Linked DNA regions of Cricetulus griseus. The protein of the gene in region 1 purifies or fractionates together with the protein of each later gene. This does not show direct contact. Links are inferred from orthologs where the notes say so. Each region holds a gene or a part of one and is shown on either strand. Other genes may lie near its edges.

Region 1 (16,023 bases):
CAAGACCCTGTCGTTTTGCTTTTTGTTGTTGTTGTTGTTTAATTATGTATCTGGGACTGGAGAGATGGCTCAAAGGTTAAGAGCAGTGACTGTTCTTCCAGAGGTCCTGAGTTCAGTTCGCAGCAGCCATATGGTGGCTCACAACCATCTGTAATGGAATCTGATGCCCTCTTCTGGCATGCAAGTGTATATGCAGGCAGACACTGTGTACATAATAAATAAATCCTAAAAAAATTTATGTATCTGCTAGTCTCTAGTCCTAGCTTAAAGGGCCCTGAGTTTTAGGCCAGCCTGAGTTTCGGAGGTCCTTGGTGAGGCTGTCTCAGAAAGAGGTCATTTCTCCAGTCCCTCCACAAGAGAGTGCTCTGGGTTTGTGTTTAAAGTTGAAAGAACTCTGTTCTTTAACCACAGATTGGGAGTCCGCCTCTTGACCCGACTGAGCATTTTCTTCCTGAAGAAGAGAAACTTACAGAACAAGAGAGATCGAAAAGGTTAGTCTTCATAGAGACACAGGGTACCCCATAGTCTCACTGGGTGCTTGTTCAGGAATGCACACATGGTGTTTGCTGTTTCATGGCACTCCTCCAGGATACACTGTGGATTCTTTTGTGCATTAAAACCTCCACAAGTTACATGCCTTTGTTCAACTCTGAGACTGTTTGCCTATTTGTTGGATAGATCCAAGGGCCAGCTCAACTCAAATCTCTATGAAATTTCCTTATAAATTGTAAACCATTATGTAAGTCAGGGTTTTTTTCCCTTCACAGATTTGAGAAGGTTTACACTCATAACCTGTATTACCTGGCTCAAGTCTACCAGCACATGGAAATGTTTGAGAAAGCAGCTCATTATTGCCACAGCACACTAAAACGCCAGCTTGAACACAATGCCTATCATCCCATGGAGTGGGCCATCAATGCCGCCACACTGTCACAGTTTTACATCAATAAGGTCAGTATCCCAAACTAGCTCTCCAACAGCCTAGATGAAGACAGGTCCAGTAGTGCTGTCAGAGCAGGTAGCTGGCATTTTATTGCTTAAAACTTGGTGTAGAATACAGCCAGCTATGCTAGCAAAACAGTATTGGAGTGCTTTGATGCATGAATACTTTTGAATCTTTTAAAAAAATAATGTTTTTATTTATTGAGAATTTCATGCAATGTATTTTGATCATGTTCTTTCCCTTCCCCCTACTTTTGAGTCTTTATTTTTTTAAATAATTTATGTAACTTTATTTTATGTGCATTGGTGTGAACTCAAGTTACAGACAGTTTGTGAGCTGCCATATGGGTGCTGAGAATTGAACCCAGGTCCTCTGGAAGAGCAGTCAGTGCTCTTAACCTCTGAGCCATCTCTCAAGCCCCTGAATCTTTAAAGTGCTGATTTTGTCATACCCCTATGTGTTGCTAGATGACAGGTTACCTAACATCAGTTCCGTCCAGCTGTTAGCACCCTTTTCATTTCACTTTTGCTATGTGTTACCTTAAATTGCAGATTTTTATCTTGCTACAGATAAAACTTTATCTTCATGTAATGCTAATCTTACAACTATGAGAATTTGTCTGAGGAAGTTGACAGTTAAATGTGGGCTTTGATAAAAGCATGTGATGTGTTTCAGTTGCTTTTCAGAGTTAGCTGCTCTCTAATAATCATTTTTGATGTTGAATCCATGCTGAGTGCTAGAGTTCCAGGTTTATGACATACTTCTGAACTGTCCCAAAGAGACAAGTTTGAACTCTATAGCTACTTGTCCAGATCACTTCTCATTGTGTTGTATTTTGAGTACACCCATTTCTTTTCCAGTCCTTTAGTTTCTAACACTGACCACACACACACAGACCGCCACTCTTTTTGGGAGGCAGGGTATCGATGTGTATCCCTGGCTGGCCTGAAACTTGCTATATAGACCAGAGTGGCCTGGAACTCAAAGATGTCTGCCTGCCTCTGCCTCCCAAATACTGTGACTAAAGGCTTGTGCCACCATGCCCAGCAGCAGACTGATTTTTAGTTCTGATTCACAGCTCTGACGTCTGGTAGTTCTCAGCCTGTCAGCATCCTTCTTTCACCTCTGGTGGCCTGCTGCCTTCCCCTCAGCCTTTTCCTTACTAAGCCTGTTAGCTGCTAAGATCAAGCATGTAGTCTTTTTGCATTCAATCAAACAACTCCTGTGACTCCATTTCATCATGGCCATCGAGAGACCCCTCTGCTGGCTCCTTCCCTAATATGGTTTTAGTTAACACCTAAAACTCCTTGGATATTTATAGTACAGAAATGTCTGGATCGTGAACATGTGACCTTAAGTTGTTAAACATTACTTCTGTGGAACATGCGGTAATTTTTGTGCATCTCTCCTGCACCCCACACCTGTTGTTTTTGGTTTTGTTTTGTTTTTTTGTTTGTTTTCCCCCATATCACAACCAGCTAAGTTCTGTCACAAAAAGAGAGATTTGAACTATGCTTGAAAGTGATGTTATTTGCATTGTTACCAACTCCATCTGTTGCAGTTTTGCTGCTCTTCAAGTCCCACATTAACCACCTACCCACAGGGCACAAGGCAGTCTCTGTCTTTAGCAATGGCTGTTCATAGGAACAATCTAGGCAGAGCCAGAGTGGTAATGATGGTTGAGACACTGTAGAGGGCCAAGTAATGTTTCTTCATGTGAGCTGCAACTGTCTAATGATTGGGGATTTCCTACCAACACTTGATAGGCCAGCAGCCTATTCATACCTATGGTACCCAGCTATTCTTTACAATAACTCTGAATTCAGTGTGAAGGCAAGATGTATGACTGTTGAAGTTCTACCAACCAAATCAGTCTTTCAGACTTACTGATACGAAGCAGACATTCTCTCTAATGAGGGCGGCTTCCATTCAGAAAGTAGACTTTAACTTCAATCTGTTGGGTGATTCTGCAGTTTGCATGACAGATGACAAGTTTTTGGTGTTTGACACAGAGATGTTCTTGAAGTGTTTGAGAAGTTTTCTGTGCCCGGATTTGCATCTTGAGTTCTTCATGAGTATTGACAAAGTCATTCCATAAAAGTTCATTTGTAGAAATCTTTTGACCTGGAAACCGGATAGGGAACATCATTGTCTTGCCACCTCCCTCCAAAGGTTTTAAAAGACAGGAATGAGTCCTCAGTACTCTGACAGAATGTAAATGGTCTAAGAATGAACTGTGCATGGGGCTTTGCCTATTTACACTGAACCTGGTGTGTGGTAAGGCAATTGGAGTATAGGCTGCTCCATGTTCCTGGTTGCAGGAGGAGAGTGGACTGTCAGTCTCCAGTCATCTTTCCATCAGCTTGGATTCTTATCAGGAGTGTGGGATATTGTTAGTTTATTCTCTGGGGTAGCTTTTTTACCAGATAATACTGTCCATGGCAACACTACAGGGCCCCATTAGTGGGGTACTTTTCCTGACAGTATAGTGTTCCCCATGTTAGTAGATACTGTTAATTGTAAACAAGGCTTTGTCATAGTTACATTTGTTCTTGCTTCTTTCCCAACAGCTCTGCTTTATGGAGGCCAGACATTGTCTGTCTGCTGCTAATGTTATTTTTGGTCAAACTGGAAAAATCCCAGCTACAGAAGACAGTAAGTTGGTGTGCATTTCATGATACAGTTTCTCACTGTGACAGTCTTGACCTTAGCTTTCTAAGGACTGCCAATGACAAGTGTACATACCTGGCTTCTATATAATTACAGATCTATGTGAAATTCGGAAACTTAGTTTTCTTTTTTTAGATTGATTGATTTTATGTGTATGTGTGTCACCTGTGTGCATGGTGCCTGCAGAGATCAGAAGAGGGTATCTTATTCCATAGAACTGAAGTTAGATGGTTGTGAGCCACAGTGTGGGTTCTGGGAATGGAACCAGGTGCTCTGCAAAAGCAGCAAGAGCTTTTAATTATGAAGCCCTCAAATTTGAAACTGTTTTAAGCTTTAGAAAAGTGTAAGAACAGAATTACAATATATCTTCCTTTAAATTCATCATTTTCAATATTTGTGAATTCACACACCCACACACATTCTCTCTCTCTCTCTCTCTCTCTCTCTCTCTCTCTCTCTTTCTCTTTCTCTTCCTCTCTCTCCCTCTCTCTCTTTCCTTCCCTCTCTCTCTTTCATAAGACAGTTAGCAGCTTCAGGAAATGCAACACCAAGACAGTCCTTCTGTCTGCAGTGCCTATTTCTGTCATCAGTTGTCCTCTAAGTCCTTTATAGTGATGTACTATATGATACAGCTCAAGACTGCATGTTGCCTTCAGCTGTCTCTTTAGTCTTCTTGTCATTGGGGCAGTTCCTCAGGTTCTCCTGCCCTTTCATCGCATAATGTTTTGAAGGCTATTGCTGGTTACTACATTGAATTCCTGTTTCTTGGGGTTTATGAGATGTTTCCTTTTGCCATGATTGACATTTTGGTCAATATACTACTTTTATAAGGGCTGTCTCCTCACACTGTCTTTCTTAATTACAAAGGTTTTGTTTGGTTGCTTCTTTGTGTGTGTGTGATGCTAGGGACTGAAGCAAGGGTCTTGTGTGCGCTAGGCAAGCACAGAGGCTGGGGGAGGTTGGGAAGAAGGGGGAGAAATGACGGTGTCCATTGTTTGCCACATGCTTTCTGTCAGCATACAAAAATATTGTTGGATATGGCATTTGTCAAAAATATTTGGCAGTTTTATTTAAAATATTTTAAATTGTGCAAACTGCTTGGCCTAGTAAATTCCATTTCTAGGAACCAGTCCAGACTCTAGATAGATGTATGTGTAGGGATCTGTAGCCTAGAATTGTTCATAATGGGAAGATCTGGATGGAAACAGTATGTTCTCTCTACCAGAAGAATGCCTGGAATAGGAAATACCTGTTTGATTGTGTGTAATATTGAGTTAAAAATAAAGCTCAGGAGTTGGTAATGGTAGGGTCAGAATTTTCGCGACATACTATATGAAGAAAAAACTATTCAAAAGTAAAAATATGTTGTGACCTTCGTTTTTACTTAACCCTGACCGTAACCTAAGAAAACTAGGGAGGATCTGCAGCCTCACTGCGCTGAGTGCCTCATGGCTCAGTGAGCGTCTGCTGCTGTGTAGTCAGGAAAAGGTGAAAGAACAGAGGACAGTGCACCATGCAGACAGCGCTGACCATGCTTACAGCCCGCCTGTGCTTTCAGCTCCTGAAGCTGAAGGAGATGTGCCAGAGCTTTACCATCAACGGAAAGGGGAAATAGCAAGATGTTGGATCAAGTACTGCTTGACTCTGATGCAGAGCGCCCAGCTCTCCATGCAGGTATGCACATTGAAGTCACCTTCAGCTTCCAGAGGGGCTCATCAGGCTCACTGTGGGTGGGTTTTGTTGTTGTTTTAGTTGTGTGGGTGTGTATATTTAGGTGCCTGTATGTACAGATGTGGGTGCACGTATAAGCTTGTCTATGCAAAGGAAAGCAGAGGATGACCTTGGTTTTTTTTAGATAGTCTCTCACTGGACATGGAGCTAGGTGATTAGTTTAGGCTGCCTAGTGGGCCAGCAAGCCCCTGGGATGTGCCTGTCTCTGCCTCACCAGCACCTGGATTACAAGTACTTGCCACCATGCTCAGTTTTTTTGTATGGGTCCTAGGGATCCAATCTGGGTCCTCATGCTTTCATGACTAGCAGTCTCCTGACTAAACAACCACCTCTAGCCCTATTTGTATTTTTTTTATTTTTAACAGTCTCACTTCATAGTTTAAGCCAGCTCCTCCCTCAACCTCCAGACTGACAAAACCTTATAGGTTCAAGACACAGCCAATGCAGTGGTTAAGTTTAGATATAGGACCAGCCACAATAAGGAGCTTAGCTCCAGAGCTCTGATGTGAGCCCAGTTCTGCCACTTTGTAGCTGTGTGTTTTTGGTAGTTGTCTTTTCCTTCCTTCCTCCCTTCCTCCCTTCCTCCCTTCCTCCCTTCCTCCCTTCCTCCCTTCCTCCCTTCCTCCTTTCCTTTTCTTTTTCGAAACAATTTCTCTGTGTATAGCCCCTGACTGTCCTGGAACTCATTCTGTAGACCAGGCTGGCCTTGAACTCAGAGATTCACCTGCCTCTGCCTCTGTCTCCTGAGTGCTGGGATTAAAACCAGCCACCACTGCCTGGCTGTTCTGGTAGGTTTTTTGTCTTTGTTTTTGTTTTGTTTGTTTGTTTGTTTTTTGTTTGTATTTTGGTCTCTCTGCCTCCGTTTCCTCATAAGCAAAACAGAGATGGTAGTGCCTGCTTAGTACTGTCGTGGTGAGAGTTAACATATGTAAAGGCCTCAGAAAGTGTCTGAGTGTCTAAGGCAGGACTGGTGAGCTGGCTTAGCAGGTAAAGGTGTTTGCCACCAAGTCAGAGTTTGCTCCTCAGGACCCACATTACAGTAAAAAAGAATCAACTCCTACAAGTTGTCCTCTGACCTCCTCGTGTGCGTACACATACAGACACACACACATAACACACACACACACACACACACACACACACACACACACACAACACACACACACACACATCTAAATAAGTCTAATTTGAAAGAAGAGTATCTGAAATATACTAAATCCTCACTATATCTTCATCATTCTTACTAATCTACATGGGACCCTTGTTCCTAGACACAAAGAAGGAATATAAAATAAATTACCTGTAGACACATTAACTTTCCTGTTACTGTACTTTTGTTTTTCTCTTTGTGTAAACTGAAATAATTATAATTGTAAATAATATAGAGCTAATAAAGCTATAAAAATAACAAATCCAGAAGCATAAATTTTGAGAAAAGGGGATTTCTTTTTGGAAAATGCAAGTAAAGACAAGACATTCTGTGGTAGTGTGTCTACTTAGCATGCTCAAAGTCATGGGTTCCGTCCCCAGCACTGCATAAATGAAGTCTTGTCATGCAGGCCTGTAACCCTAGCACTTGGAGATAGTTCAGGACTATCCTTGCCTTCATAACAAGTTCAAGACCAGATTATCCTATAGGAGACCTTGGCTCAAGAGACTTGGGAGGAGTATGTGGGTGCAGTGGGGAAAAAGAGAAGAGAAAAAGTATCAGAAGATGTCTGGTGCCAGATAGGTGGTACATGTGTGTAATCCTTGCACTCAGAGGCTGTGAGGTAAAGCCAGCCTGGAGTTCCATGGGTGCCCGGACACATGGCAGTCACTAGCTCACTCACTCACTCACTCACTCACTCACTCACTCAGTCTCTCTCTCTCTCTCTCTCTCTCTCTCTCTCTCTCTCTCTCTCTCTCACACACACACACACACACACACACACACACACACACACACACTTAAGTAAAAATAGATAAATCTTGGGGAAAACAATATTAAGACCTCAGTGGTCCAGTACAGTGTCCCCCCCATAGAAGAACAGTCGCTCAGCATGTTCAGAAAAGGTCACAGAACCTGCTTCAACCTTGTTGCATTTTCGTTATTTGTTTAATTTAGGTTTTTTTTCATTTAATGCAGTTAATTAGTGAATTCATTTATTTTGGATGTGTATATGTACATATATGTACATGCATGGAGGGGGCGTCAGAGGACAGCTTGAAGGACTTTGTTCCCTTCTTGTGTGTCACAGGGTTCAAACTCAGGTTGTCAAGATTGGTGGCAGACACCACCATATAGTATATCCTGGCCTGGAATTCACTATGGAGCCCACTCTGGCCCCAGACTTGTGGCCTTCTCCCGCCTTAGCCATAGAATACTGTAACTACAGATGTGAGCCATCTGCCCAATGTCAGATTTTACTTTTAGGTTGACTGTTCGGATCCTTCTGTATAGACCAGGCTGGCCTTGAACTCGCAGAGGTCTGCCTGCCTCTGCCTCTTGAGTAAGGTTTTTGTGATTGTTTTAAGATTTAATTATTATATCTTACATTTATTAGTGTTTTTGCATGTCTGTGTACTACGATGCTCCTGGTGCCCATGGAGGCTAAAACAGGGCATCGGCTTTTCTGGAATTGGATATAAGGGTGTTTATTAGACAGCACATGAGTACTGGGAACTGACTAGGTCTTCTGCAAAAAAGCCATTTCTTCAGGGCCAACTCTTTGTGAGACTGGGCCTTGCTGTGTATCGCCAGCCAGCTTGGAATATGTTGTTTAGTCCAGGCTGGTCTCCATTCTGCAATCTTCCTGCCTCTGCCTCCTGAATGCTGGGGGATTACAGGAGTGCTCTATCACATAGCTAGCTGAGGTTTACTCTACAGTTTTATTTGACAGCAGATGAGTATCCTGTTTAACTATGATTTCTCCTTTTAGGACAACATTGGAGAACTTGATCTTGACAAACAGTCGGAACTCAGAGCATTAAGGAAGAAAGAGCTTGATGAGGAGGAGAGCATCAGGAAAAGGGCTGTACAGTTTGGAACTGGCGAGTTGTGTGATGCCATCTCTGCAGTGGAGGAGAAAGTGAGATACTTGAGACCGTTAGATTTTGAAGAAGCCAGGGAACTTTTCCTTCTGGGTCAACACTATGTGTTTGAGGCAAAAGAATTCTTCCAGATTGATGGGTATGTTACTGACCATATTGAAGTTGTCCAGGACCACAGCGCTCTGTTCAAGGTGCTCGCATTCTTTGAGACTGACATGGAGAGGCGATGCAAGATGCACAAGCGCAGAATAGCCATGCTAGAGCCCCTGATTGTGGACTTGAATCCACAGTATTACCTGTTGGTCAACAGGCAGATTCAGTTTGAAATTGCACACACTTACTATGACATGATGGATTTGAAGGTTGCTATTGCAGACAAGCTCAGGGATCCTGACTCACACATTGTGAAAAAAATAAATAGCCTGAATAAGTCGGCACTCAAGTACTACCAGCTCTTCCTAGACTCCCTGAGGGACCCAAATAAAGTGTTTCCTGAGCACATCGGGGAGGACGTTCTCCGCCCCGCCATGTTGGCTAAGTTCCGAGTAGCTCGTCTTTATGGCAGAATCATCACTGCAGACCCCAAGAAAGAGCTAGAAAATTTGGCCACATCTTTGGAACATTACAAATTTATTGTCGATTACTGTGAAACTCACCCCGAGGCTGCCCAGGAAATAGAAGTTGAGTTAGAACTTAGTAAAGAGATGGTCAGTCTTCTCCCAACAAAAATGGAGAGGTTCAGAACAAAGATGGCCCTGACTTAAGGGAAGGAAACATACAACCTGAATTCCCCCTCCACCCCATAATGAGCCAGGACTGGCTCCATGGTAGCCTTCAACACCGGAGCTAGAGGAAGGCGCTTGAACGTCAGATGCAGCCAGGACCTAAGTCAATGCTAGGACCTTAAGCAACATAGTTAATTCATAATTTATACCTAATTATGTAAATTGCCTTGCTAAGTGACAGGTGTTTTGCATTTTGATCGCTTGTTTTCCTGTTTAAATATTAACATTTCCTGCCTTGATTTCTAACTGTTAAGTCCTCTGCTGACTAGTACTTGTTGGATTTCACACTAGAAACAACACAGGTAGTGTGCCTGGTCGAAGAACCTGTTACTATGATGAATTTGAGAAGGCTACTACCTATAGTCATTCTTTGTAAAATACTTTCTCAAACTCCTAAATAAATCTTTCCCTTTTAAAAATACTAAAAATTTAAGTTAATTAAAAATGTTGTAAAACGCCGGGCAGTGGTGGTGCACACCTTTAATCCCAGCACTTGGGAGGCAGAGGCAGGCAGATCTCAGTGAGTTCAAGGCCAGCCTGGTCTACAAAGCGAGTTCCAGGACAGCCAGGACTGTTACACAGAGAAACCCTGTCTCCAGGGGGTCGAAAAGTTGTAAAATGGTGTATCTTAATTATAGAACGAAAAGCCTTGCACCTAATAAATTTACTTGTTCAACTAGTAAACACTTCTATTACCCCTTTTTTTCTTGTAAGAATGTTTTGTGTGTATATGATGTCTGTGGGTCATGTATATGCAGTTTCTATGGAGGCCAGCAGGGGGCATCCGATTTCCCTGAAACTGGAATTACAGGCAGTTGTTACTGCTATATGGGTACTGGGAACCAAGTAAGCCCTGGGCCTCCAAAGAGGAGCCCGTGCTCTTAGCCATTGAGCCATCTCTCCAACCCATTTTCTTATAAAAATTGGCCTCATTTTTGTCATCTTGAAGGAATTAGCTTATTCAGAGCCAAAGAATAATATTTTAATGTTTTATTAGTATATATTAATTATTCACAGTAATAGATATCACTTTGACATTTTTGTATACATATATATTTCAGTCATGCTCCTGTTATCTTCTCTTGTCCCCCTCCCATTTCCTCAGTCACCTTCCTCAGAGAATAGTTCTTTAATAACGTTGCACATTATAAAATAGAAAACCTTACTGACTATAGTTTATCATCAAAGAGTCCTGCTGTAGTTATACACCACATCATAATTGTCATCAAAATTACTGCTGTTCATATGTGCTGGTCATTTAAAGAAATGCAGAATTCAGGCCTAAGGGTGTGGCTGAGAGGTCGGAGTGCTTGCCTAGCATGGGCAAGGACCTGGCTTGCACTGTCAGCATCCTGGAGGGTGGGAAGGGGGATCGGCTCACAGTCCGGATCAATTGTAAGATTTGCTATAGAAAATAGCCCTGTATGTGCATTTGCTTGCCTATTAATTTGTGTCCTAAAGCTCTTAAGATTTCATGATGTTTCTTTTTTTGGTTTTTGTTTTTTAGAGACAGGGTTTCTCTGTGTATCCCTGGCTATCCTGGAAGGCTCTCTGTAGACCAGGCTGGCCTCAGACTCACAGAGATCCGCCTGTCTCTGACTCCCGGGTGCTGGGATTAAAGGCGTGCGCCCCCATCACTGGCCTTCCATGATGCTTCTTATGGGTGTGTGTTTATATAACCATTGTGCTTTTCCTTTGAGATTGGGTTGCCGGGGAACAAATCTTTGCATAGCAGTCAGTGTGTAGGATTCAGTTAGAATTTCACCAGTCTTCACTAAAGTGCATGTGGATCAGGCTCTATCCTCATTTTCTTAGCTTGAAATGCTGGGGTGAGCAGAACAGGGCCCTGTGCTCACAGAGCCGATAAACAGAAAGCAAGGTACCTTGGGGCTGAGTGAGGAAAATACAGTGCTAATGCAAGCATTTGTGGGAAGGAGTGCTGTTTAGCTGTGCTGATTTGGAAGGCCTGGACAATGTAGAGACCCAGAGTGGAAAAGTGAATGAAGTAGAACCCATATAGTCTTTATTAGAGTGTTCCAGGGATGCTAGACTGAACAAGCTTGCAAAGGAGCCTGGCACTTCAGAAGATGTGGAAGGAATGGACCTGAACCAGGGGTGGGTTAGGAGGGGCAGACACCAGAAGTCAGATGGAGGGAGCTATGCAGGTTGGGGACAGTTTGTTTTTTATTCTAGGTGCAATGGTTCCTGGAATTTTAGCATGAGGACTGGCCAATCTGATTAGAAATTCTAAGAAAACAGCTCTTATGGTCTGGGAACATGGCCTAGTTGATAGAGTGCTTGCCCAGACTCCTCAGAGTCCCGAGTTCAATCCCAGCACCACATGAACTAGATGTTGTGCTCCACACCTGTAGTCTCAGTACTGAGGAAGTGGAGGCAGGAGAATCATAAGTTTGAGGTCTTTTTTAGCTGCCCTCTGAGTTTGGGACCAGCCTGGGTTATATGAGACCCCTTCTGAAAGAGAAAGGGAGTGAGTAAAAAACTAGCTTCTGGGGGAAATGGGTTGATACAGTTGATCCAAGTCAGAGACAAGGTGGCTTGAACCAGGGTGATGGGGCAGAAGCAGAAGCCATGGCCCTGCCAGAGGTTTCTGAGGGAGGAGAGTCAGGAGCCACAGTGAGGAAGCACACAAGCGAAGTGTAATTTTATGTGGGGTTAGAAGCAAGAGTTCTGTTTAGGTCATATTGAGTTTAGGATGGTAAGCCTGAGATGAAATAACTGCTCTTCAATAGTTTTTCACAAGACCATCCTTAAAAGGGAATGGAGGAAGCTCGAAGGAGCTAAAGAGGGCAGGCAACTTGTTGAGGAGAGATGTGACAGGGAACTCGCCCCTCTCTGTCGAAAGCCTTCCTTTCATGCATGATGATGTTCATGAGTGATGCTCATGCATGTCTATGCACATGTGTGTGGTGTCCTCGGAAGTCAGAAGAGGGTGTCAGACACCCTGGAACTGGAATAATAGATGGTTGTGAGCCACCATGTGGGCTCTAGGTACCAAAGGGTCCTCTGCAGGAGCAGTAAGTGCTCTTAACTGCTGAGCCATCTCTCCAGTGTGCCCCCCACCCCCAGGCCTTTCTTGGTACGGTTATTTTCGTGACCTCACTTCAGTGTTTATACATTTAAAAAGTACCTGCGGAGCTTTGAGTGCTGCTACACTTGGAGAATATGCTCAAACTCAATGGCTTTTGTCTTTGCCTTTCTTCTCTCAGGCAGTGTTAACTGGATCTCGAAGGGTACAAACACCAAGCAGAACAGGCAGTGACCATAAAACTGGTCTTCATCTCTGTCGACATCAACATACCCTGCTCTTTGTCACTTGCTCTCTGTGGCTTTTCAGGCTTTAAGACTTTGGTTATCAGCAGAAATCTCAGCGCCGTGTTCACTTACTCCTGGCACACATCTTCTCCAGGCGCTCTGCTTCCCTGGAGAGTACTGTTTCAGATGTTCTGCTCACAAAGCAGGGGGCCCTTTGTACGACATTACAGAGCAGATAGCAAAGACCATGGGGTTATGGGCTTTAAAACTGTACATTCATTTACTATAAAAGTTGAGCACTCATTGAGAGGCAGGTCTAGTTGAACCCTGTATTTCTTAGAAAACGAAGCTAGTGGGTTCTGGCAATATAGTGCGAATGGACTGTAAGCACCGTGACTAAAATTCTTCACAAGCTACCAAGTCAGGTAGAAATGAAAAGAAGGAAAATTGGCCTAGAACGCCACCTTATCCAAACCGAATTATAACTATACAAAGGTTTTCAGTTACCAGTTTTGTTTCTAAGTAGCTGTTCCAGAGTTGACAGTCTTTCTGTAGCCACTTTGAGGATGTGCTCATTTATCAGAAACAGTTTCTAAGGCCAGGCGTTGGTGGCCCACGCCTTTAATCCCAGCACTCGGGAGGCAGAGGCAGGCGGATCTCTGTGAGTTCGAGGCCAGCCTGGTCTCCAGAGCGAGTGCCAGGATAGGCTCCAAAGCTACACAGAGAAACCCTGTCTCGAAAAACCAAGAAAAAAAGAAAGAAAGAAACAGTTTCTAATCTTGAACTGTAAAAACAGAACCCTCAGTTGTTTGGACAGCAATAATATTTTTAAATGACCCAGTACATATGGATGCATTTGTTTGTCTTTTTTTTTTTTTTTTTTTTTTTTTTTTTTTTTTTTTTTTTGCTTATTTTTAGCCTTTAATGGCTGAGTCATCTTTCCAACCCTTGTTTTTTGTTTTTTGTTGTTGTTTACTTTTTTGTTGTTGATGGTGGGTTTTTGTTGTTGTTTGTTTTTGTTTTGGTTGTTTGAGACAGGGTCTCTCTATAGTCCTGGCTGTCTTGGAACTTACTGTGTAGACCAGGCTGTCCTTGAACTCACAAAGATCCACCTGCCTCTGCCTCCCAAGTTTTGGGAATGCTGCTTTTCTTTTGCTATTGTCCTCAACAGGAGGTAGTTCACTTGGCCTCACAATGGATGCTGTGACTTTGAATGCATGCCAATCCTCCTGTCTCATCCTCCCAAGTGCTAAATTATAAACATGCCATTGGCACCCTGTAATACATTTGCATTGTAAACATTGGTACACAGATGGGCCTTTTGGTCATCCTACCAGCCAGAGAGAGAGGCTCTGAACAAGGGAGAAAAAAAAAGAGCCCCGATATCTTCACCTCTTTTGTTTTTAAAATTACCTTTTTTCTTTTCTTTTCTTTTCTTTTTTTTTTTTGTTTTGTTTTGCTTTGTTTTATTGAGACAGGGTCTCAATATGTAATGTAGCTCAAGCTGTCCCAAAATTCACTATGTAGACCATGTTGGCCTCAAACTCACAGAGCTGTGCCTGCCTCCTGAGTGGAATTAAAGGTATGTATGTACCACCACACCCAGCTAAAATTATTTTTCATCATTTGTTTGACGTGTTAGAACTTTCTGTGCATTAAGCACTGTGCCCACCATTGTACTGTACCTCCAGGCCCTTTTAGTAGATTTTGATAAAATCTGGGATAGGAAAACAGTTTTAAGAAAGTATCCTGAGGCCGGACAGTGGTGGCACAGGCCTTTAACCCCAGCACTTGGGAGGCAGAGGCAGTTGGATCTCTGTGAGTTCTAGACCAGCCTGGTCTACAAGAGCTAATTCCAGGACAGCCTCCAAAGCCACAGAGAAACCCTGTCTCAAAAAATAAAAAAATAAAAAAAGAAAGTATCCTGAAACCTACTGTGCACAAGGTCTTCATTCCATCCCAGCACTGCACAGACCCAGTGCACACACCTACATCCCAGCACTTGAGAGACCCGAGGCGGGAAGAACAGGAGCTCAAGGTTGCATTTGGCCGCACAGTTAGCGTGCATGTAACCGTTTAATCCAGCTAGACTCTTCAGGCCCTTCCCTTTCTCAGGAAGGTCATGACCCAATATTACATTTTTATCTACAGGAAATGACAAGGTTATATAATGTTCTATGTAAAACTGGGGCTGAAAAGTACAGTTAAGAAACCTGAGGTGCCTGCTGGGTGTGGTGAGCTGCTGAATGTGCTGTGACCTGCAGCCGCTGTCTCCAGCTCTATCAGTGCAGAGCTCTGGCTGGCTTCCTTCTCAGTGTCTCACTTGGGGTTCCTGGTGTCTTTGTCTTTCCTGTTATCAACAGATTTGTCACTATCAGTCATCTCTGATCTAGTCACCCAAGAGCAGTTCTTCAGAGACTCAGAAAATGGCATGCCTCTAATCCCAGCACTCAGGAGGTAGAGGCAGGCGATCTCTAGGTTTGAGGCCAGCCTGGTCTACAGAGCTAGTTCCAGAACAGCCAGAGCTACACAGAGACACCCTTTATTGAAAAACCAGAGTGGGGGGGAGGGAGGCAGGCACAACAGTGGAAAGTCTTAACAGGGAAAACCAAATAATGCGCTCTGTCTCCTGCTGCTGCTGCTGCTGGTGTGTGTGTGTGTGTGTGTGTGTGTGTGTGTGTGTGTGTGTGTGTGTGTGTGACAGGGGTGGCTTTATGTTTAAGGACCTGCTGTCCTTCTATATAATAACTAAAGAAACATGAACTCTGCTTCTATGCAATTTATCATTCATTTCTTTTTTAATATGGTGCTCATAAGATTTAACTCCCTCCCCACTTACACATTAAGGGAAGTGACTCCCAGCTTGTCAGAAAATAGCCTGAATTTTACTCGTTGAAGATGTATCAAAGCCCCAAGTTGTAAAAAGTTAAGTAATTCGCCGGGCGTTGGTGGCGCACGCCTTTAATCCCATCAGAGGCAGGCGGATCTCTGTATGTTCAAGGCCAGCCTGGTCTCCAGAGCGAGTGCCAGGATAGGCTCCAAAGCTACACAGAGAAACCCTGTCTCGAAAAACCAATAAATAAATAAATAAATAATATTTTAAGCATACAAAGTAATGTGTTTCATTATGGCATTTTTCTACATATGTAAAAATAATAGATTTGGCGTGTAAATTCAACAAGGTATGTTTACTAAATCTAAAGATATGTTCAAATGCTCTGACTTGAAATTTGTTTACTTGTTTTTTCTTTTTTTAAGTCACTCTTTTTTTGTTTGTTTTTATTTTTTGAGACAGGGTTTCCTTGTGTAGCTATGACTGTCCTGGGACTAGCTCTGTAGGACCAGGCTGATCTCGAACTTATAGAGACACCCCCACCCATCCCCCACCCCACCCCCACCCTGAGCATCTGCTGATAAGGTGTGAGAGGCCTCTGAAGCCGGGACTGTAGCTCAGTTGGCAGAGTACTTGCCTAGCGTGCACCACCACGTCAGGTCAAGAAGGCACACACCTGTAATCCTAGCACTTGGGAACTGAAGACAGGCCGTGCAGAAACGAAAGGCCATCCACAGCTTCACCGAGAGTACAAG
Region 2 (16,468 bases), on another chromosome or scaffold:
GGGCTGGAGAGATGGTTCAGTGGTTAAGAGCGTTGGCTGCTCTTCCAGAGGACCTGGGTTCAATTTCCAGCACCCATATGGCAGCTTACAACTGTCTCTAACTCCAGTTCTAGGGGATCTGGCACCCATGGAAAACAACAATGCACATAGAATAATGATAAATAAACTCTTTACTTTTTAAGTTGTCTTTGACTGTGGTATTTCATCACAGCAACAGAAAAGTAACCAACACACAAAGGTTTTCTATCTGATGGGGGCAGAACACATATTAAAATGAGTATCCTAACATTGCAATCTCTTTTGAACAGGATCAGGTGCTCTGTAACTATAAGCAAACCCCAATTAAGTGCTTTCTTCTATAAGATTGCCTTGGTCATGGTGTCTCTTCTCAGAAATAGAACACTAAGACAGTACCTAACTGACACGATTGTTTTAAAGATTACCTGAGTTGATGTAGGCTGTTACTTACTAGTGATATGAGTAAGTGATGTTTAATGAGAGATTGCTGTCATTGTTTTATGCTGTAGTCCATGGTTTTGTTTTTTTTGTTGTTGTTTTTTTTTGTTTGTTTGTTTTCCAAGATCCCTCATGGAAGCCCAGAACCATGAATAATATCAAACCCTATACGTGTATAGATATTACATATATAACAAATGTATTTTATAACTACCCATACCTGTGCTAAAGTAACATAAATTAGGCACATTAAGAGATGAATAGTAGTAAATAATAACAAAATGTGACAATGTTAACAATATATCCTATGAGAGTCAAGACAAATACTAACCCTGTCAGAGAGAGTTGTCTGGAACTGCAGAAGGGGGACTAATATGGAATGAAGCTATGGACCACTTGAGAGTCACCAGAACATTCTTCCTCTGCCTAGTCAGAAGCTGCCACATAATCTTATCACTTGGAGTGGGGGGAAAGGTCAAAAGGCTGGAGAGATGGTTCAGTGGTTAAAAACACTGGCTGCTCTTCCAAAGGACCCAGATTTGATTCCCAGCACTCACATGGCAGCTCATAACTATCTATGACTCTAGCTCTAGGGAATCTGATGCCCTCTTCTGGTTTCCAAAGGCACCAGACATACGTGCAGTACACAGACACACAGTACACAGGCAAATCATCCATACATATTAAAAAAAAAGCACAATGTGTCCCCTTTCCAGTCCCCACTGGACATTCACTGGGGGCTGCCTTTGTGTCTTCTGTACCCCTGTTCTTCTGCCCAGACACTGTTTCTGCTTGCTTCCAGAGCCTTGCAGGAGCCATGAAGAGGTGATACACTGACCGTTGCTTTGTTTAATAAACATCAGGGTCAAGAATGAGACCCTGAGAAAGCAGCTCTGAGCAGTGAAAGCTGATGGCCACAGGCTTCCAGAGGCCGCACTCCTGCATATTTATTGACCTGAAAGGCAGCAGAATGAGCCTGTTTTGCTTTATGTGCAAAACTTTACTCTCGGGCCAATTTTCTGGTGCCCCCAATGACATATTACAAAATGAAATAGAAGTATCAACAACGGTACTTTATTCCTGGAATACATCTTCCAAGAGCTCCAGATATCTGCCACGTTGACCTTTCCCTGCCTGAACCCAGGCTGTCACCAATGTTAAATTACTTTCTAAATCAGAGGTAAACTTTACATCATAAAATACCATTCATAGCCACATCAATCCAGCCTGAGATCTGCATTGCTCTCTCGACCTAGACTCCTAGATATCCACAATTCACAGATTGACCAGCTTTGCTCTATCAATATGCCTCACCCAATGGGGTATCACGCTAATAGATTACTGGAGCTGCCGCCCACCACATTGATGTATAAGAGCAATACATTAGGAAAGCCCCCACTCACCTGGATGATGGATTGGGGCAATGGTCCTCTCAGGAAAGCGTGCTGGTGATGTATGGCCCATAAGGGCACCAACTGGGAAAGAATAAGTTCAAAGTGGGTTCAGTTTAGCTTGTAGAGACAAAGAGAAGCAACCTAGGTCCACCAGGACCTACCAAGCCCCATGTTTACAGGCAAGAAGGCAGCTGCTCACACACAAAGGCCTGCACTCAGACACCCCTGCCTGAGGCATGAGTGTTCATGACTACTGTCAAAGTCCTGGAGCTTGAATTGAAGCAGGCACAAGGATGCTTTTACTCTGTTGACATGTGATACATTTTATAATAAAATTACTAAAGGGAATTGCACAAGGATGTCATTTTGGAAACCGTTAACTGCTCCTAGTTTCTTTTCTATGATGAAACACCCCGACAAAAGCCAACTTAAAGGAGACAGCTTATTCGGCTACCTTTAGGCTACAGTCCATCATTGCGGATAAGTCAAGGCTGCAGGAACCGGAAGCAGCTATTCATTTGTTCCCAGTCAAGAGCAGAGAACAATGAATTAATGCACATGTTAGAGCTTAGTTCACTTTCTCCATCTTATACAGTTCAGAATCCTCTGCCAGGGACTAGTGCCACCTCAACTAAATGTACTCAAGACAACCCCCCACAGACATGTCCACAGGCCAACCTGACCTAGATAATCCCTTAGTGAGAGTCCATTCCCAGGAGACTCTAAATGTGCCACCTTGAAAATTAAAACTAACCATCACATTACAATATTGAGCAGATTGGGCAACTGCAGTATACACACACCAAAAGATACGTGAAGATGATGTAAACACTATAGAATTCACTGTCTTTATATTATATCAGTTATTGTGGAACCCAGTGCAGGTGGATATACTTTTAAACACACCATGCTTCAAGGACTCTGATACTCGTACACTGGCATCTGCTTGTACCAAGTGTGGTATTGCTTATTTGTTTTTTGAGACAGGGTTTCTTTGCATAGCCCTGGCTCTCCTGGAACTCACTCTATAGACCATGCTGGCCTCGAACTCAGAGATCTACCTGCCTCTACCTCCCAAGTGCTGGACTAAAGGCGTGTGCCACCGCATCCACCATGATCTTGTTTGTATAACACGGTTTTGCAGCTAGCTACGGAAGGGCAGCTAACATTTGCTTATCACCTACTACTGGCCAAGAGCCATTCTTCCTCTCTCCCACTTAGTGACTACAGACACAGTCCATGGGACTTTTCCTTCTGCAGATGAGGAACCAGGGATGAGGCAGCTAGCTCCTTGAGGTTGTGTAGCCTGTATTGCAGCCTGCAATGCAGCTTTCAAATATGTAAAAAACAAGCACAGCTTCCAAGCACTTGCTCAACAGGGAAGTAAGGCTCTTCCATGCTCAACCAACTCAAGAGGGTGGAACAGTGTTCCACCTGGATTCAGTCCTTGGCTCCCAAAGTGGCACAGTAACCACAATAATTTTAGCATTCGTTTACTGCTTCCTATTTATTCGATTTGCAAATTAGGAGAGATATTAGCCAGGCAGAGCTACTGTGACATTTCTGAATCAGGAGTAAAGGGAATGACAATAATTCAATAAAAAGATTTTGGACTAGGAGGCAATTCTGAAGCTCACAAGATTTATTAAAGCACTCTCTTTATAACACTTTTCAGTGCACATGATTCTAACAGCGACATATTTACACCATTCACTCAAATACAGTATAACAAATTATCCGGCATAAATATAAATAAGCTTACAAGCATACCTGAAACATTTCTGAGGACAGACATGAGTTTAGAGAATAGACACTAGTGTGGTTTGGGGTGTGCACTATAACCCCGGCACTTAGGAGGTGAAGGCAGCAAGATAACAGGGATAGGCCACACTGGGCTACCCAGCAGGACCATGTCTCAAAGACAGAAAAAACTGAGGGAGAAGGGATGGAGAAACTGAAGATTAACTGCTGTGCAGCAAGGTGAAATCTCCGGCTAATTATGGTAAATTGGTGAGTTCGAGGAAGTACAACCTTCAGGACAGGTCTTTCTGTGTACTTCAGTTTGTCAAATAGTAACATAAGGGCTACTTTCCAGAACACTGACCCATCCACAGTGAACCTCAGAAAGAAAACGTGGCAAAAATAAAAGAAGGCAATGGAAACAAATCTCTTGCGTTGCTACATGAGACAGGAGTGGTGCACCCAGGGAGGCCTGGTGACCACACTTTACCACTTCAAAGCACCACAAGCAGACGTGTCACTGCCTGGCTGACCACCCCAGGCTACTTTACAGTCTTTCCCCCAGAGAAAATGACAGGTGTACTCAAACCGGCTTCACCCAGCTACAATTAATGTAGCATTGACAAGTAGCACCCACAAGCGAAAGAGAATCTCTCCAGGAGCTGCTTAGGTCACCCAGGCAAAGATACTATGTATCTTCGTAAATTACACATATTCTTTTTTTTTTTTTTACGATTTATTTATTATGTATATTTACTTATTATTATGTTCTGCCTGCATGTACACCTATAGGCCACCAGATCTCATTGTAGATGGTTGTGAGCCACCATGTAGTTGCTGGGAATTGAACGCAGGACCTCTGGAAGAGCAGCCAGCGTTCTTAACCACTGAACCATCTCTCCAGCCCAAATTATACATATTCTTGTGGTCAAAATGTTAAACTATTTCCTTAAGTTAAACCCTAAAGTAGGATATTATCTTTATTACTTGATTGTAGGTGAAGGAGTTTTTAAAGCTGTGAAATACAAGGATCTTTAATCTCCATTGAACAACATGTAAACAAATTTCCCTTTGGCAAAACAAGCACTATCAAAAAAAGGGCCAGCCTCTGATCCCCCATGTGATGCTATTTTAAAATTTTATGAATATAGCCCCATTATGGAACATAGATAACACCATAAATTATAATGCTATCTAGTCATAGTATGTAATTATATTATCTTTAGGTGGTTACGGCTTGAAAAGACACAGATTATACATTTATTACTGAAGGTGGCAAACAGTTAACCATTCGAAAGAGTTGCAGTAAGCTGCCTTAGTTAAACTTGTGTTGAGAATTTCACCATAAGCCTAATCTTCTATGCAATATATGGGGGAAAGAAACAAACTTTTCAGATTTCCATTCATGAGAAAATACACATCTACAAACAGACTAATGAACCAGTCAGGACAGTATCTCAGTGTTCAAGGTTGGCGTTTAGAATTCAAGGCAACGGGAAATTGGAGACACAGTCACTCACGTGGTCCTGAGACCCTAATTTCATTCTAATGCCACTGTTCCAACATGGTAAACTCCTTGTTTGAAAGTAGTCTGCTTAGAAAATTCTGAGCACACACCAAGGCATTTTGAAATCAGGACTCCATACTGCTGGCATTACCCACACCTGACAGGAAGCTATGCATAGACACAGACTCTAAACATTTGCATCCATTTCTTTGTATGGTCTCCTATGTGAGGAAAAGTGTCAGCAAGCGTTCTTTCTGGTTATGAACGGTCACCAGGAGCATATGTGATGGTTTCACACCCACTGGATCCTATTGGGAGTGCAGTCCTGTGAGGACACTTCGGGGGCTACTGGGTCTCTGGGTAGTTCCCAGGCCTGTGTTGGCAAGCCTCTACTGCAGTCAGCCCCGCTTGCCTCACGCTGCTCTTCCTTGCTGTTTTGATTACAAGACTCCTGGGGTTGCAACAAACCAGGTCTTTCTCCACATTCAAAACACAAGAGGAGTGATTTGGCTAGAGATTCTAGTTCTCCATAATCAGCCCGAGGTACTTTATTCCCACAGTTGCCAGCAGAAGCAGGGGGCTCAGTGAAGTCACTGTGAAGTTTGTGAGCCAGGCCGCAGAGAGTTTCAGTATAGCTTCTGAGACAATGCAGGTCACTGGGGCACCCTACACAAGAGGGAAAGGAAAAAGTGGGTTACCCTTTCCAGGTGCCAGCAGGTATTACCATTGCATAGACTCTAGGGGTCTCTTAAGTTAAAGCAGCCCACATGACACACCAAACCACTGATTGCCTCTTGGACAGGTACTCGACTTCCCTGACTGTACAGGCGGAAGTGCAGCCTTGTGTTACGCAGCACTTCACAGCCCAAGCTCCTACACTGGTAACTAATCTCACTGGAGTAATGTTCAGTGAGCTTTAGTTATAGCTCAGGCTGCAAGAGGGAGAGAGAGAGAGAGAGAGAGAGAGAGAGAGAGAGAGAGAGAGGGGGGAGGGAGGGAGGGGGAGGGAGGGAGGGAGGGAGACAGACAGACATGTGTGGGTCCTTGGATTACACAGTTCCAGTTCCAGATCCCACTTGGGTCACTTACCTCTCAGTGCAGATGTAATAATCTCAATAGTTTTCTCCAAGCAATATTTTAACTTCAAGAATTCTGATGCAAGAGTTAACATCTTGGAACCTTGTTGTCTAGAATTTTCTTGTACTTGAGTTCTGAAGCTTTTCTGTATAAACAAAATTTATATTTAAAAATATAGATATTATAGATTACATGGCAGCAAATTTAGTCAAAATGATCTTAATTGCCCAGAAATTTATCATTTGTTTGTTTATGCTATTATGACAATGAAACTACATTAATAACAAATTATATTGAAAATGTTTAATTTCCTCACCAGTGTATAACTTCATTTCTATAAGCAAGATAAAAATACAAAATGAACACTGATTATTATTATTATTATTATTATTATTATTATTTTATTTTTTTGGTTTTTCAAGACAGAGTTTCTCTGTGGCTTTGGAGGCTGTTGTGGAACTAGCTCTTGTAGACCAGGTTGGTCTCCAACTCCAGAGATCCACCTGCCTCTGCCTCCCTGAGTGCTGGGACTAAAGGCATGCGTGACCAACGCCCGGCTGAACACTGATTACTTTTTTTTTGACATGATGCTTATGAGTATTTAAATTTTTTTGTTCATTGTTTTTTCATTTCAGATTTTTTATTTGAATTAGAAACAAGATTGTTTTACATGTCAATCCCAGTTCCCTTCTCCCTCCCGTCCTCCCCTACCACCCCCCCAACTAAAACCCTACCTATCACATATCCTTTCTTCTATTCTTCCCCTGACTCAAGCTTTCTGCTCCCTCATGACCTCTGCATCCTTCCTCTTCTTCCCTTCTCATTCTCATAGCTCCCTCCCCCCTCTTCCTGTGCTCTCAATTTGCTCACACTGATTACTTTTAAAAAGCAGTAAGAATTTACTAGCACATAGGAACAGAATGAAGCAACAGCGCCATGGTACCCAACACCATAAAAGCTAACATTTAACCTCAAAGAATTCAGTTTCACAGGATTTACTTTCAATATTGACTTTACTTAAATACTCTTTGGCTTGGGCATTACTTTCCTTTCCAGGCCTGATTATCCCCTCTATCCTTTTCTATAAAGTGGATCTGTGACATGACACTACTTGAATTTAACTCTATTTGACACTATTTGAGCACATTAATTATAAAAAGTGGTTTTTTAGCCTATAATGACTATACTCAAGAAAAAGCTGGCAGCCCCTATGCCAGTAACTACAAACCAGGTGATGCACTGGGAAGTTCCTGTGCCATCGTGTACCTATTACTAACACGAGTGCAGTAAGACCACCAAAAGGAAACCTAGGAAACACACGTGCTCTGTTAACATGCACAACATAGCTGTCTCCAGCTATGACGCCAAGGAAACAAAAAGATCTACAACTGAAGCAAATGTGAACAAAAATTGACTGAAAGCCCATCTTACTAGTCTCCATTCAGCAAAGATGTTTGCCAGAGACCTGACCAGTTCCACAGCATTAGCCTTCATCCGCCTGGTGACCTACAGAAAATGTTAAAATATTTTGTTATACAAACAGTCATCAAGAGACATATCATTTTTAGACCTGTGTGAGACCAGACAGAGTTCTAATCTAGAATCCATAAGAGATGGAAGTTCCATCTCTGAGCTAAGCAGAAAATGGCTTTGAGACTACTTAAATCATGCGAATGGAATTTCCTTCGAAATAAATGACATTGATTCCATATCAAAAAAGCCACACTTGGGCTCAGCAGAGGCAGTCACTTGCTGCATAAGCCTGTGGACCTAAGGTTGATCCTGGAACTCCTCATTTAAGGTGGGAAGAGTGAATGAACTGACTTCTCAAAGTTGTGTTCTGATTGCCACATATATGTGATATGCAGGTCTCCACATGCACAATGCAATAATAATAATAACATAAACATGTTATAAACATATTTTATAAATTATAAATATAGTAAAATGTAAAATTGATTATAAATAAGATAAAACATAAATCTGATGTCTGCTACCAAAATGATGCCTGCATTTTATTTAAATATTTATAGGGATGAACGTCCCAAAATTTCCCTCAGAAGTGAGGGTGTGAGTTATTAAGCAAATATGCTCCGAGAACATTACAAGTTTGATCTGATTCTCAGTTACAACCTTATGCTGCCTATGGCATTTCCCATCTTGCAGACTGAGAATCAGATCCCGGACAGTAACCCCTAGCTCTCAGAAGCAGTGTGACTCAGACTAAACAATAAAGTTGCTTTCTGCTGCTCACTGTTGCCCCCGTCAGGTGGAACTAAGCTTCTGCAAGGGGATTCAGTGTTGTGTTTAATTGGCTTTCACTAAGCTCTTGTCTAGGTCAGCTCAAACTTGCTGTTACAGTAAGAAGATAAGTAGGCCATGGAGTGAGAGGCAGGGGGATTACTGAAAGGTTCAAGCCTGCCTGGACAACAAAGAAAGTTCCTGGCCAACCAGAACTACAAGGTAAGACTATCTCCCAAAAGAAGAAAAGAATGTAGGTATACCTAAATTCTTTACTTCAAGAACCCAGCTTTGAAGTCATAATTCCAGCCCTCTATTAGTCTACTTTCTATTTCTCTTACTATTTTTCTACTTCTTGGGTATTCCATTTTTTGCTATAGGTCCTTTTAAAAAGTATAATGTAATTCTGATTGTTATTTTATTTGTGTGTGTGCAAACACACATGAGGTCAGTGCCCACAGGCCAGAAGAGAGTGTGAGATCTTCTGGAGCTGGAGTGGAGGTGGCTGTGAGCTGCCTGAAGTGGGTGCAGAGATTCAAACCCACCTAATGAGTCACTGCTCCAGCCCCTGCCACAGGCTCTTACGACTTTTTTTTGTTTGTTTTTCAAGACAGGGTTTCTCTGTGCAACAGTCCTGGCTGTCCTAGAACTCACTCTGTAGACCAGGTTGGCCTCGAAACTCACAGAGATCCACCTGCCTCTGCCTCCCAAGTGCTGGAATTAAAAGCACGTGCCCAAACAAAAGAACAAAACACACAATCAAGAGAGGCAGACATATTCAGAGAATGCAAACGTACAATCGAGACCAGCAGTTTAGAATTTGCCAGCCACTGTTTCTAATATTTCTTTTTTTTAATTTTTAAAAGTTTTATTTTATGTGCATGGGTATTTTGCCTGTATGTATATCTGTGGACCACATACGTGGCTAATGCCCTCAGAGGGCAGAATAGGGCATCAGATCACCAGAAACTGGGGTTACAGACTGCTGTGAGCCACCATGTGGGTGCAGTCCTCTACGAGAACACTTGGGGTGTCTCTCCAGCCTCCACTCCTAGCATTGCTCGTGCTTCAGTGTCTGGAAGGAGGCAGAAGCACTTGGAGGACGTCACCGACATCTCCACTAGGTTCTGTGTCTATGTCTTGGTGTGAAACCACTGGTGTGAATGTTCCTGGAAAAATACTTAATTCAAGATGATTGGATCCATAAGTGATGGCTTCTGCTTTTAGGCAGAGGAGTAAAAAACCCAACAGAAAGATTGAGAAGGACGTCCAGAGAGTGGACAGTAGGTGTTGCTGCCACCCTCCATAGACCTGGTCTCTGCCTCTTCTTTAAAAACTAATTCAGCACAAATTAAAATACATAACATGTCACAATAGAACCCACTGCATCACACTATCATTTGGACATTTAAAGAAGTTTGGACAATATACATCCTAAAATAAAACCATTTTTAAGATCAAGTGTATCACCCCACCCATCTTACCTCCTCATGTGCACTCTGCCGTGAGAGGTTTCCCTCCAGGTCCTGGACTTTTTCCAGCCCAGAAGCTAAGAGGCTTTTTATCCCCAAGGCCATGCCATCCTGGAGGGCAGCTGTGAACTCCTGTTAGGAAAAGGGTCAGGCACTGAGCTGGTAAGCTCAGGTTTTACACATTAAAATTTGATTACATTGTGTGTACGTGTGAGAGAGAGACAGAGGCAGCGAGAGAGAGAGAGAGAGAGAGAGAGAGAGAGAGAGAGAGAGAGAGAGAGAGAGAGAGCGCACATGGGGGTCACAGGACAACTGGCAGGAGTTGCTTCTTTATTTCTACCATGTGGCTCTAAGGGATGGACTGAGGAATCAGGCTTGATGGCTAGCACCTTCACCACTACCCATCTCATGTACATACTCTTCAAAATTACATGGTAATGAAGATATAATTCATTCCCAGTTTATTAAATTCAGCTAAAGTTAGTATGAGAACAATCCATGAGGGAAATAAAACTAACAAAATTAAAATTAGTATTCCATGTGCTATGGAAAAAATGTCCACTTTAGGTAGGACCTTATTTGCTAGGATATAATACATTTTAATACAGTATTGCTTATAGCATAAACAAGGTGGGCAAATACAAATATTCTATAGTTACTGTTTTCCCCATGTATAAACTGGATGAGACCACGCTCCACAGTTGATAGCAGTCATCAAACCATAGAACAAAAGGAACATCTTTTGATGTTTTTGAGATTGGTCTCACTAGCCCAAGCTGTCCCTGTTCTTCGATCCTCAACCCCTAAGTGCTAGGCAAGCACCCTATCCCTAGCACCAAAAGGATTGTTTGCTTTCTGAGACAAGGTCTTGCTGTCCTGGAACTCACTATGTAGTTCAGGATGGCCTTGAACTTACAAAGATCCACCTGCCTCTGCCTTCTGAATGCTGGGACTAAAGGTGTGTGCCACCACTGCCTAGCTCTGAAAGGATTGTAAAGACCTATAATCATCCAATCATATTTTAATCATTTTTGTTTGTTTGAGAAAGGCACTCATGTAACCCAGGCTGGCCTCAATAGCCAAGAATGATCTTGTCCTTCTGATCTTCCTGTCTGCCTCCTAAGGCTGGACTACAAATGTGTACTACCACATCCTTTATATAGTGCTAGAGCTCAAACTCATGCATGCTATGCAAAATACCAACGGAGGTACATCCCAGACTTATTTTATCTAATGTTGACCAAACTATTAAGTCATTGCCAAACTATTGCAAGTACAATGAACTTATTCTGTGCAGTGATGCTATCAGAAATCTCTAATGTCCCCGCAGAAGTCTTTTAGAGCTTACATTAGACATTACCCGGGCGCCAGGAATCTTGCTGCTATTCTCCAGAAGACAAAGCTTGCTCCCTTTCAAAACGGCTAGCTGACCCACACACTGAGCAGCTTGCTGTATAATCTGGACGACTTTGTTTTGAGCCTCTTGTATCATTGATGAAATATCTGAACAGCACCCCTAATGAAATAAAAATCAATCAGTCAGTATATACATATATGAGATTTTTAAGAGGTGAGAAAGAAAAAAGGGATAGTGGGTGAAGCTAGCAAGCATGAGGGGCTGCCCTTAAGGCCCCAATACCAGCTAAAAATAACAACAGAGCTGGAGAGAGCTCAGTAGACTAAGGGTACTGACTGCTCTTCCGGAGGACCAAGGTTTGATTCCTAGCACCCACAATAGGTAGTTCACAATCTTCTGGAACTGAAGTTCCAGAGGATCTGACACCCCCTTCTGTGCTCTGAGGGCAACAGGCACATATGTGGAACACAGGCATGCATGCAAGGAAATTCCATACACATCAAAATAAAATTCATAATGTAACAACCACTGGAATGCACGTGAGAAACTGAAAGCATGCAGCCCTGAAGTTACTCATGAAGAAGAGCCAGCTTCTTCCTCCCTCAAAGACTTGACACAGTAAAGGGAGATGTAAAGCAAGTAACTTTGTACTTGGAAATGTCAGGACCCAAGACAGGATTGGTAAGGAAATGTCAGGAAGAGGAACAAAATGGTGTGACTTTGGCCTTTCAGCTTTAACTGTCCTGTTAACACCTAAATGACAGCCTTCCCATATGCGCTCAGTGCCCAGGCCTCCAAGGCACAGGAACATTCTTCTTTCTGGTCCTCTCTCCTGTGGCTCTGACAGTGCCCGCCTTGACCTGCTATATGGAAGACACTCATTATACCACTACAAGGTGCCAAGCCACACATTACTAGATAAGTATGCTGGCTAGCACTGGCTTCACACGAGTCTTCCTGAGCCCAATCCCAGTCACCCGGGTCTCCAGCCTTCATTCCTTGTATAGAATGTGTCTCACAAGCATGTGTGTTGAAACTCTTAAGTCAAGTTCAAAGCCTTCTTCCCGGAAAATAAAGAAAAGGAAAGAAATTCCATGGTACAGACTCCACCAGATATATTCTCTCTCTCTCTCTCTCTCTCTCTCTCTCTCTCTCTCTCTCTCTCTCATCAATTTTTCTTTTCTTCGTCCTTTTTTTCATTTTTTTTCTTTTGAGCAGAGTATCTCTCATGGCTGTCTTGGAACTCGCTCTGTAGAACAGTCTGGCCTTGAAATCAGAGATATGCCTGCCTCTCAGGTACTCTCTTATACCATGATTTCATCTGATAATCACAGCAACCCTGCCAGGTAGACATTACTGTTTTTATTTTCAGGTAAGAAAATGGAGAGACTCAAGAAGCTAAGCAATTTGCCTAAAGACACAAATTAACATAGCATAGATTTAAACATGGGATTTCAAATATCAACAATGAGTTCCTAGTTTGTGGGTATATTCCGCTCCCCCCTCCCATACACTACACACAAGCTGCCCCTCTTTCATTTCTACTACAGGCTGTCCTGAGCTACATTCCTTCACCATACATACACACACACACTCTTAAACTACCCCTTTCATTTCTACCACAGACCATCCTGAGCTGTATTCCTTCGTTAGGGTTTAACCTAAGTCATACCCTCATTACAGAATGAGAGCTTTGCTCTCTGACCAACCCCATGCTTCCATGTTCATGGCTCTATGCTGTCAGATCTTCTTCACCTGAAGTCTGCCCACCTCTGTCTGTAGTCCACATGTTACATTCCTCTCTTTCCCTGATGTCCATATTCAAAGTAAGCCTTCATTTGATGTGAATTTAAGATTCATTTAACAGCAAATGTCCAACTAGCTTGCTATTACATCAAGAGGCCTTGTGAAAAGACACATGAGTCCTACACCTACAGAAAGCCAATGTCGCCGAAGCACACATGCTTATCAACAGTATAGTATATTAACAAGCATAACGAGTAGCTTTACTCAGGGCTAACAAAAAAACCAAACAAGAGAGGTACCCAACCAAACTGGAGAGACTAAGGAAGTTCTCCTGAGGGAAAAAACAATGGATAGTAAATATTTCCCTAACATAGCCCACTCAGGAAGTACTTGTCACAATAAAAATTACACTACAAAAATGTGGCAAGTCTCGGGGCCTGTAAGAGGGCTGGCTTGGTGGGTAAAGGAGGCTTCCATCAAGCCCTATGACCTGAGTTTGGTCTCTGGAACCTACATGGCAGAAAGAAAAAACTGACTCCTGAAGTTGCCCTGGACCTCCACGCATATACCATGATGTGCATGTATTGGATATCACTACATAAAACTTGACCAAATATTCTAGAAAGTTTAAATATCCACCTATTTGAGAAATTTTCATAGAGATCTCTGGTATGGCAACAAAGAGATATTTTTCAACATTAGTTCCCTACTTTTTCTACAAAAATGGAACCTTGATTTTTAACTTGATCCATAGGTACCTAGAATAAAAAAAAAAAAAAATCCACTTCTTGATTAACTATATGGCTAGATGCAGTCAGGTAAAATTCTGGCCAAGCATACATGAGTACTGTAGGACGTCTCATAAAAACTCCCTTTAAAGGAAGGGCCTTTCCTTGTCCACACCACACACACACAACTCAGACGGTGCTCTGTCAACTCAAACAGAGCATGAGGAGGTCAAGTCCACACTTCAGGCAGCAGAGGGGAGAGCAAGGAGTTGGGATCCCGCCTTTGTGCAGAAGAAACTCCATGCCTACCTCTGCATTCTAGCAGACAGAAAACAAGCTTTACTTTTGTCTTGCGTCCTCCTGGTGGCCAAACCCAATGTTACTTGACACAAAGTAAGCAAGAAACAAAACCTGAAATCAACAGGTTTGCTATGAATTTAGCATGAGCTGAAAGCCAACCCACAGTCAGAGCAAGACTCTACCTCTCTCTACCCAGTTGACCTTAACTGGAGGCTAGCAGACTATAACCAACCAGGACAGCATGCATTCAAAGCCACTCCTATTACCCAGTAGCTACAGAACACTGGCTGAGCTAGTCATTTCCCAAGCCTCTACTTCCTCATCTATAAAATGGTGACAGCAGCACCCATTTGAGGATTGTCATGAGGACAAAATGAACCAGTTATCTGCAAACCACTTAGGACACAGAGGACACCAAATTTTTGCTCAATAAACCAATTGCATCTAGACCTAGGACCCCAAAACAGGAAGCACCCGGAAATCCTCAGAGGTAATTTTAGTGAAGATACAGGTGGTAGAGAGCCAATAAATACTTTCAGAACAAATGAATTCTTCAAAAATAAAAAATCAATGTACCTGCAAAAACAATTGTAAATAGCCTCCCAGTTTTTTAATATCTTGTCTCAATTCATCTTCAAGCCTCGCTGAGCTGGTACCAGGTGGAAAATCATCCAGCCAGTGTTTGAACAAAACCACGAGCTGCTCAAAGGCACAAGCAATCTGGACAGTGAATGCCTGTGCTGCCCGGTCAGAAGAGAACACTGGGAAAGAAGAGGGAAAATTACTGCAAGGAATAGCGTCCAGATAAAAGAACTCACGTACTGGCACCATTAAAGCAGCTAAACATAGTCGAGAGATGCATCAAATAATCATCCCAAAACAAGAGTAAAGGGCAAAGAATCCCTGTCATGGGCGTTGGCAGAAGCAGTAGAATTACTTACAGTTATTTTGACTTTCTTCATCCTGTTCTTCATGGGCTTTGGAAATGGCAAACAGTCCATTATAAAGTTTAAGGAGATTATTTATCAGGCTATCTGCTATAGTTTTTTCTTCGTCATAACTCTGTCCAAGAAAGTCTATTGATGAACCAATCAATTCTTTGCAAATTCCAGGAAGAAACGATTCTGATGAATTTGAGTAAATGGTGTTTGATTTTTCCATTAAACCTACACCAACAGAAAACAGTCAGTGTAAACCTAGTTTCAAGCATAATACTTTCAAACAAACGCACAAATGCAGGTATACTGAAGAATCATTGGTCAGTAGTTCAAAGCATTCTTATTTCTATACACCAAGACGAAAACAATTCCAGCTAGGGACCAATTAACCTCTCACTAGCATGAGCCCACAGGCTTTGTATTTTTTCCGCCTTAATATAAGTAACTAGAGAATCAAAATATCCCATGTGCCTACTCACTTAAACCTTTCTTTTCTTATTTTTATGTGCCTGGGTGTTTTGCTTGCACACGTGTCTGAATTCCATGTACATACCTAGTATTCATGGAAGGCAAAGAGATCACCAGATCCCCTGGAACTGATGTTCCAGACAGTTGTAAGCTGCTATATAGGTGCTGGGACTTGAACCCTGGTCCTCTGGAAGAGCAGCCAGTGCCCTTAATTGGCTGAGCCATCTATCCAGCCCCTCACTTAACCTTTCTATACTTGATAGCGATGACTTTTTCTCAACACCCATGCAAACTAACTCATAAACTAGAAACTGGGCCACAATAAACTGGATAAAAAGAAATGCCTCAGAACCTTCTGTTTAGAAGAGCTCTTCCCAGGGTATACTACAGTCAGAACAGGCCTAAGCTAATTGATTATCTGCAGCTAACAGCACATTTCTGGGAGATGGGCTTGCAAAAACAAACAAACAAACAAACAAACAAAAAAACCACCACTTTCTAAGTACTGACAAAGCAGAAGTAAACGGAAAGGTGCAAGAGCTCCTTCAGGATTCCAGCAAGTAACCTTATACTGGAGCATATAGCATTCGTGCATCGTGATTCTCAACTAAAATGCAATGTTCCCTGGTCTAGTCCACAGGGGACTAGAAGAAGAATACTAAAAAGGCAGAATAAAGGCAGAAGATGGGGAATAGCAAATGCCCAGAACAAGGATGAGAGCTTGACTTGGAAAGGAAAGCACAAAAGCCCAATCTGAAGCTACAGCTACAGTGAATGTATGTCACTATGACATGACACTAGAGTTATTTACCCAAGACAGCTAACTATATATGTTCTCTAAGATTGATGTATTCTACAATTCAATGCAAATATTTTAGATCTGTAAAAATATCGTTAAAAAATATTATAGGCTTTGAGTTGAGAAGTTACATTCCCAAAGCTAGAAAATGTCACGTCCTAGGTGCAGCAACCTCTCCCTTAGGCTCCTACTGAATGTTCAAAGAACATTTCCTCCCACTCCTTCTCCCAACTGTTTCACTAAAT

The links.
Region 2: the proteins of Kifbp (region 1) and Kif14 purify together in Homo sapiens (affinity purification with mass spectrometry; 3 studies listed by BioGRID and IntAct, counting the BioPlex papers as one, with this or other methods). This does not show direct contact. The link is inferred for Cricetulus griseus from reciprocal best matches to the Homo sapiens genes KIFBP and KIF14.

Annotation. Positions count from the first base shown.
Region 1 is NW_023276806.1:274,629,992-274,646,014, forward strand, and holds the end of Kifbp (KIF-binding protein), read left to right. Parts: intron 1-411; coding exon 412-491; intron 492-767; coding exon 768-951; intron 952-3,513; coding exon 3,514-3,598; intron 3,599-5,171; coding exon 5,172-5,287; intron 5,288-8,265; coding exon 8,266-9,141; 3' UTR 9,142-9,863; downstream 9,864-16,023. UniProt on the Homo sapiens protein: Activator of KIF1B plus-end-directed microtubule motor activity. Required for organization of axonal microtubules, and axonal outgrowth and maintenance during peripheral and central nervous system development.
Region 2 is NC_048598.1:52,732,088-52,748,555, forward strand, and holds the end of Kif14 (kinesin-like protein KIF14), read right to left. Parts: intron 15,185-16,468; coding exon 14,960-15,184; intron 14,780-14,959; coding exon 14,595-14,779; intron 11,404-14,594; coding exon 11,236-11,403; intron 10,020-11,235; coding exon 9,900-10,019; intron 7,681-9,899; coding exon 7,606-7,680; intron 6,320-7,605; coding exon 6,187-6,319; intron 5,764-6,186; coding exon 5,390-5,763; 3' UTR 3,472-5,389; downstream 1-3,471. UniProt on the Homo sapiens protein: Microtubule motor protein that binds to microtubules with high affinity through each tubulin heterodimer and has an ATPase activity. Plays a role in many processes like cell division, cytokinesis and also in cell proliferation and apoptosis.